Linked DNA regions of Macaca mulatta. The protein of the gene in region 2 purifies or fractionates together with the protein of the main gene of each other region. This does not show direct contact. Links are inferred from orthologs where the notes say so. Each region holds a gene or a part of one and is shown on either strand. Other genes may lie near its edges. The genes, in order: FKBP5 and SGK2.

Region 1 (3,819 bases), on a different chromosome or scaffold from region 2:
GTCTCAAACTCCTGAGCTCAGGCAATCCGCCCGCCTCCACCTCCCAAAGTGCTGGGATTAAAGGCGTGAGTCACCACGCCCAGCCGATATGTTCATTTCCATAAACATATTTTTTTTAAGTCTCCATTTCGTCCACATAAATGGTCCAACTTTTAAGGACTAGTTCCCTCTTACTTTAATACTTACTTTCTACTGTTGCTCCTTCGTTTGGATTTGAATATCCCTCTCCTTTCCGTTTGGTTCTCCGGATAATGCCTCCATCTTCAAATAAGTCCTCTCCTTTGAAATCAAGGAGCTCAATCTAGAAAGAAAAAAGGAATTCAGATGAGAAAAGACCAAATAAAGCCAATTTAACATATGTGAAGGCAAGGGCAACCAATTATTTCATTTTACAAAATAAAGCTGTTTCAAAATGTATACATTCATTTATGCATCTTAATTATTGGAAAAGTAGCAAAAAAAAAAAAAAAAAAACCCACTATACTTTTCCATACTTGGAAAGAATTTCACATAATGATAATGTCTAGGACTATATCCTAAGGGACTGCGGTGCAGAGACAGGAAATACTAGGAACACTACCCTGTGGGCAAAAACCCAGAGCTTTACAAGGTGCTGGTGTAGAACAGTTTGTCTGAGGCCACAACTTTCCCACCCTGGATTTATGGAGTTCCCTTCTCAAAATGTAAACATAAATTTCATGAATGTGGCCTATGACTGATTAAAGGTATATTTTACCTAGCTGGGGTAGTTCTTAAAAATCAAGTTTTGCCAAATATATGTAATTTCAACACAGGTTGAATAATGTTTTATCACCATCAAACACTTCTAGAGAAGTGAGATCTGTGACATATAAACCTTTATAATATGAAAATACCCTGCAACTTGACATAGGCATATTTCAACATTTATTGCCAACATTTCCATCCTGCATTCTGGTCAATTTTGAGTATGTCACACTCACACCATGGACCAGATTCTTTATTTCTAAGTGTAGTGTCTTTTGCGTATTTGGATATGACCTTTTTGTGGTGGAAATACGTTTCTCAAAAAGCACTGGCACGTGCACCCTTGGGTTTGTGGGAAACAATCCAAGAAGCCATGCTCCAAAATAAGTAAGTTGGATGTGATTCTCTATAGCTCCTTTTCCCACTGCCTGTTGCTTCAAAGCCATTCCTATTGTAGAGCAGATGCTGACAAGGCAACATCACACACATACTTGCCTCAAAAAAGAGAGTTGCATTCGAGGGAATTTTAGGGAGACTGCCAGCTGAGCCATATGCATATTCTGGTTTGCACAGTAAATGGCATATCTCTCCTTTCTTCATGGTAGCCACCCCAATGTCCCATGCCTTGATAACTTGGCCTAAGAGAAAGGAAAAGGTAGTTGAAAGCTATCAGCCCTATTTAAAAATATTTAACTTTCATTAAACAAAAGTTCAAATTTCCAGTTTTTCATACTACATATTCAGCTAGAAAGTATGGGCTACAAGATGACCGAGTGCTACATACAAATAAATAAATATTTATTTATTTCAAGGCTATCATAAAAGATTCCCTGTTGATCGGCCCAGCACTTTGGGAGGCTGATGTGGGAGGATCGCTTGAGTCCAGGAGTTTGAGACCAGCCTGGGCAACATAGCAAGACCTCATCTCTTAAAAAAAAACAACAAAAAAAACCCCCAAGGAACACAGCTGGGTATAGTGGTGCACACCTATAGTCCCAGCTACTCCAGAGGCTGTGGTGGGAGGACTGCTTAAGCCCGGGAGCCCAGGAGGTTGAGGCTTCAGTGAGTCAAGATTATGCCACTGCACTCTAGGCTGGGTGACAGTGAGACCTGTCTCAAAAAGGATTCCCTGCTGAAAGGGATGAAAGTAGTATAAATTCCTAAACTACTCAAAAATTAAGTCTTTGAAAACTGGTGGTAACATTATCCATGAAATATGGCTGTGTTGCAACTGTTGCTTAATTTATCATTTCAACTATAATAAGCACACATTTTCTAGGCAAAGATAGAACAAAAATAGTATTGAAAAATAGAGTTTGTCCTAAGGAAGCTTGTAATTTAGTTGGGTAGACAAAAACAAAACAAAACAAAACAAGAAGTAACCAGAACAATATAAATTGCATAAAAGGGTCTATGAAACACATTTCTTCTCGAAATTTAGAATCAGAAAAAGGTTTCTTTAAACAAAAACGTATGTGTCTTTTTGTCAAACCACAACTACAGAACTTAAAATGTTTTATTTTTTGCCTACTTCCAGGAAACTAAGTTAAATTTACTGCTCAATTGTAGGACTATATTAGGCTATATAATTGTAATCTCAATGTTTACAGTTCCTATGATGTGCATCATTATCTTACTGTAAGCAGTATCAAGTCCTTTGGGAAACAATAGAAAATTCAGGCAATTTAAAAGGCTAATTACATTTTGGTGGGGCATAGTGGCTCACGCCTGTAATCCTGGCACTTTAGGAGGCCAAGGCGGGTGGATCACTTGAGGCCAGGAGTTCAAGACCAGCCTGGCCAACATGGTGAAACCCCGTCTCTACTAAAAATACAAAAATTAGCCAGGCATGGTGGTATGTGCCTGTAATCCCAACTACTTGGGAGGCTGAGGGAGGAGAATCACTTGAACCTGGAAGGCAGAGGTTGCAGTGAGTAGAGATCATGCCACTGCACTCCAGCCTGGGCAACACGGCAAGACACTGTCCCAAAAAAAAAAAAAAAAAAAAAAAAAAGGCTACATTACAAATGAGGTACTTTGTTAATCAAAAACATTAAGTATCTGGGGGTTGGGCACGTTGGCTCACGCCTGTAATCCCAGCACTTTGGGAGGCCAAGGTGGGCAGATCTCTTGAGCTCAGGAGTTTGAGACCAGCCCAGGCAACATGGTGAAACCCCATCTCCACAAAAAAATATTGAAAAAATGAGCCAGGCGTGGTGGTGCTTGCCAGCTACTCAGGAGGCTGAAGAGGGAGGATTGCTTGAGCCCAGGAGGTCGAGGTTTCAGTGAGCTGAGATCATGCCACTGCACTCCAGCCTGGGCAGCAGAGTGAGACCCTGTCCTGTCTCAAAAAACAAAAACAAAAATGTAAGTATTCAAAGTGGGATCAGATAAGAGATGAACCCCAGAGGAAGTGAATTTGAAGTGAGCTGGTGGTAGGATATTAGGACAAGTGAAACCCTACATAACCGTATGTAAGCAGGGATGGATAAACCATTTGTCATTCATGATTTTAGCTTAATCTTCATTAAATATTACAACTTTTCCAAATGTAAGCTACATTTATTTCAGTTAAAAATATATGTTAAGTGGCCAGGAACAGTGGCTCATACCTGTAATCTCAGCATTTTGGGAGGCCAAGTGGGAGCATCCACTTGAGCCCAAGAGTTTTAAGACCGGCCAGGGCAACACAGTGAAACTCCTTCTCTACAAAAATTTAAAAAATTAGTGCAGCATGGTGGCACATGCTTGTAGTTCCAGATACTTTGGAGGTTAAGACAGGAGAATAGCTTGAGCCCACGAGTAAGAGGCTACAGTGAGCAATGATTATGTCACTGCACTCCAGCCTAGGTGACACAGCGAGACCCTGTCTCTTACAAAAAAAAAAAAAAAATTATTCAAGTAATACATGCCTATTATTAAAACACCCATGAAAGAGATGGAAAGTCAAAGCAGAAAGGCCATCCATTTGTTCCTTATAAGTCACTGTTTTGTTTCTTTGGTATCCTACTGTGTGCTGTACCTTTTTAAAAAAATTTAAAACACAAATGACAGTGACCTAGACATTCAGTTCTAAACTACTTTTTCATTTAA
Region 2 (3,819 bases):
AACTTATTTTATTTTATTTATTTTTTTTTTTTTGAGACGGACTCTCGCTCTATCGCCCAGGCTGGAGTGCCGTGGCCGGATCTCAGCTCACTGCAAGCTCCGCCTCCCGGGTTCACACCATTCTCCTGCCTCAGCCTCCCGAGTAGCTGGGACTACAGGCGCCCGCCCCCTCACCCGGCTAGTTTTTTTGTATTTTTTTAGGAGAGACGGGTTTTCACCGTGTTAGCCAGGATGGTCTCGATCTTCTGACCTCGTGATCCGCCCGTCTCGGCCTCCCAAAGTGCTGGGATTACAGGCTTGAGCCACCACGCCCGGCCTGTATAACTTATTTTAAGAGTCATACTTTTTTTTTTAAGATGCAAATTTTTGCTTGGAACAGGAGACTTATCTTCATGGAAACTCCTGTTCTTTAAGCTGGCCAGGAGTAGGCAGCAGATGCCCTAAATGTTGTTATAATTTACAGTAACTGAATGTAAAGCTTTTGGTACAAACACTTAAAAAGCACTTACTGTGCGCCAGACACTGCTGAGAGCACTTTGCATACATTAATACTAATCCATTTCATCTTCAAAACAGCTATATTAGGTGTTACAATGGGGAAACTGCGGCTCACAGAGAGAAACTAAGCAACACGTCCGAGGTCCTGTAACCAGTAAGTGGTGAAGGAGGGATCTGAACCCAAGTAGTCTGCCTCATAGTCCATTCTTTTTTTTTTTTTTTTGAGATAGAGTCTCACTCTGTTGCCGAGGCTGGAGTGCAGTGGCACCCATCTCAGCTCACTGCAACCTCCACCCACCCCGTGTCTCAGCCTCCTGAGTAGCTGGGATTACAGGCGCCCACCACCACGCCCGGCTAATTTTTGTACTTTTAGTAGAGACCGGGTTTCACCATGTTGGCCAGGCTGGTCTCGAACTCCTGACCTCAGGTGATCCGCCCGTCTTGGCCTCCCAAAGTGGTGGGATTACAGGTGTGAGCCACTGTACCTGGCCTAGTCCATTCATCTTAACCACTGTGTTAGAAAAGAAAGCAAAAGCCTGGTGAGAAAAGTATTGTGGCCTTCTTTTTGTAAATCCAAATTATCTTGTGTTGAATTTAAAAAGTAGGATTATTTTTAAAGTGCCACTTTAATGAATGAATATAATGAATTTGCTAAGAATGGACTATGAATCATTTATCCCTATATCCCATTTGCCCAGCCTGGGGTCTGGCAAGGAAGAAGTGCTCAGATATTTGTAAAAAGCAAGTGCTGGCTCGGTGCAGTGGCTCATGCCTGTAATCCCAGCACTTTGGGAGGCTGAGGCGGGCAGATCACTTGAGGTCAGGTGTTCGAGACCAGCCTAGCCAACATGGTGAAACCTCGTCTCTACTAAAAAAAATACAAAAATTAGCCAGGCATGGTGGCGGGTGCCTGTAGTCCCAGCTACTCAGTAGGCTGAGGCATTAGAATTGCTTGAACCTGGGAGGTGGAAGTTGCAGTGAGTCGAGATCACGCCACTGCACTCCAGCCTGGGCAACAGAGCCAGACTCAGTCTCAAAAAAAAAAAAAAAGGCCAGGCATGGTGGCTCACGCCTGTAATCCCAGCACTTTGGGAGGCCGAGGCGGGCAGATCATGAGGTCAAAAGATCGAGACCATCTGGCCAACATGGTAAAACCCCATCTCTACTAAAAATACAAAAATGAGCTGGGCGTGGTGGTATGTGCCTGTAGTCCCAGCTACTCTGGAGGCTGAGGCAGGAGAATCTCTTGAACTCGGGAGGTGGAGGTTGCAGTGACCTGAGATTGCACCACTGCACTCCAGCGTGGCAACAGAGCGAGACTCCGTCTCAAAAAAAAAAAAAGCAAATGCAGTCCACTCTCCACAAAGAAGCCAGAGGAATCTTCTATAAACTTAAATCAGGTCATGCCACACCTCTGCTCAAAACACCCTAAAACTTGCCACTCTCCTCGTTGTTCCCATAGCAGGACGTCTGCACATGCTGTGCCCTGTGTCTGGGGAGCCTTTGCCCAGCTGTCTTCATGGCTGCCTCTTTCTCATCCTTAAGCCTCAGCTTAATTGTCACCCCCTCAGAGAGAACTCCCTGACAATGCCAGTATTAATTTGCTCCCCTCCCATTATTGTTTATCTCAGCTCATTGTTCATTTTCTTCCTGACATTTGTCATATCTTGTGATAATTGTATATAATGTTTGGGTTTTTTGCCTACCCCCAACCCCAGACTTTTTGTTTTTGTTTTTGAGATGGATTTCTGCTTGTTGCCCCGGCTGGAGTGCAATGGCATGATCTCAGTTCACTGCAACCTCCGCCTCCTATGTTCAAGTGATTCTCCTGCCTTAGCCTCCCAAGTAGCCAAGATTACAGGTGCCCACCACCACGCCCAGATAATTTTTGGTATGTTTAGTAGAGGTGGGGTTTATAACATGTTGGCCAGGCTGGTCTCAAACTTCTGACTTCAGGTGATTCACCTGCTCTGGTCTCCCAAAGTGCTGGGATTACAGGCATGAACGCTGCACCCAGCCCCCACCCCAAACTTAATAAGGGCAGAGACCCAGTCTATTGAATCCCTAACACGTAGCTCAATACCTGGCACATAGTTGGTGCTTAGTAAATATTGATTGACTAAGAGAACTAGACTAGAGAAAGCAGTCAGCTAGTAGCAGTAGTGAATTTCCAAATGAACAAGTGAGCAGTGTCTGGTTTTAGAGGGCAGCAGGGTGCATGTTAATGTGCTTCTGAGCTGCCTCTGCAGGAAGCTGCGGGTCCCTTGAGGGCCAGTGCTCCACTGGCAGGTCACCTACAAAGTCTGCTTTGGAGCCCAGCCGCTGCCTCTGGTCCTTGTGGAGAAGGCTTTGCAGGAGGTCACAGGCGGCCACCGTCCGGCCCCCAGGGATCTGTAGCGGCTGGTGCAGAATGTTCTCATACATCTGGGACACGTCTTGGCTGTAGAAGGGCGGCTGGGGAGAGAGGGAGAGCAACTGGAGGATCACCCATGCAAAAGTGAACACAGGCTCCGGGAGACTTGGAGCAAGGTGGGCGCTGGGAGGACTCAGCATGACCCCCGTCTTGTGCAATGGCTCGCATGGCAGACTGGAAAGAGACAGGACTCCAGGTTTCCGGCACGATGGAGAGAGTTGCTAGGAAGGCCAGAAGCCTCTTCCCACCAGTGTGAGGCCCATCTCTTTTCATCTAGCTTGCTCACCAACTTTGCATTTGGCAACATTTGCACTTTCACCTTCATCATTTCACCCCAGTCTCATAACTATCCTCCAAGAGAGCTGTAATTTTTCAGATAAGAAAACAAGACTCAGAGCAATTATGCTGCAGTTAGAAAGAGAGCCAGGCCCCAAACCATATCCAGGGTCCCCTTCTCTTTCTTACTATTCTTCCTCCCAAGCCTCTTCCAGCTGTTCCTTCCCCTTAATCCACAGAGTCTGTTCCTTCCTAGGAACCAAGCTATGTTGGTGAAACCACCCCCAAAGCAAAGCATGACCTAGGGCAAATCTACACATGCCTCTACCTAAGCAGGCAGCCTAGGACTGGGGCCAGGGGTGGTTCCACAACCTATCAGGACTGTGATCTCTCTTGGTCTCCATTTCCCTATCAGCAAAATATGAATAATTCCATTTCCTTCTGTCAGTCTCCAAAGGCTATTTTGAGGCACCCAAGGTGAGACAGTGTGTTGTAAACAATAAAGTGCTACACTAACTTTTTTTTTTTTTTTTTTTGAGACAGAGTCTCCCTCTGTCACCCAGACTGGATGTGCGGTGGTGCGATCTCGGTTCACTGCAGCCTCTGCCTCCCAAGTTCAAGTGATTCTTCTG

Evidence for each region.
Region 1: the proteins of SGK2 (region 2) and FKBP5 purify together in Homo sapiens (affinity purification with mass spectrometry; 3 studies listed by BioGRID and IntAct, with this or other methods). This does not show direct contact. The link is inferred for Macaca mulatta from reciprocal best matches to the Homo sapiens genes SGK2 and FKBP5.

What each region holds. Positions count from the first base shown.
Region 1 is NC_133409.1:146,649,315-146,653,133, reverse strand, and holds part of FKBP5 (peptidyl-prolyl cis-trans isomerase FKBP5), read right to left. Parts: intron 1,365-3,819; coding exon 1,222-1,364; intron 302-1,221; coding exon 187-301; intron 1-186. UniProt on the Homo sapiens protein: Immunophilin protein with PPIase and co-chaperone activities. Component of unligated steroid receptors heterocomplexes through interaction with heat-shock protein 90 (HSP90).
Region 2 is NC_133415.1:96,414,649-96,418,467, reverse strand, and holds part of SGK2 (serine/threonine-protein kinase Sgk2), read right to left. Parts: intron 2,953-3,819; coding exon 2,797-2,952; intron 1-2,796. UniProt on the Homo sapiens protein: Serine/threonine-protein kinase which is involved in the regulation of a wide variety of ion channels, membrane transporters, cell growth, survival and proliferation.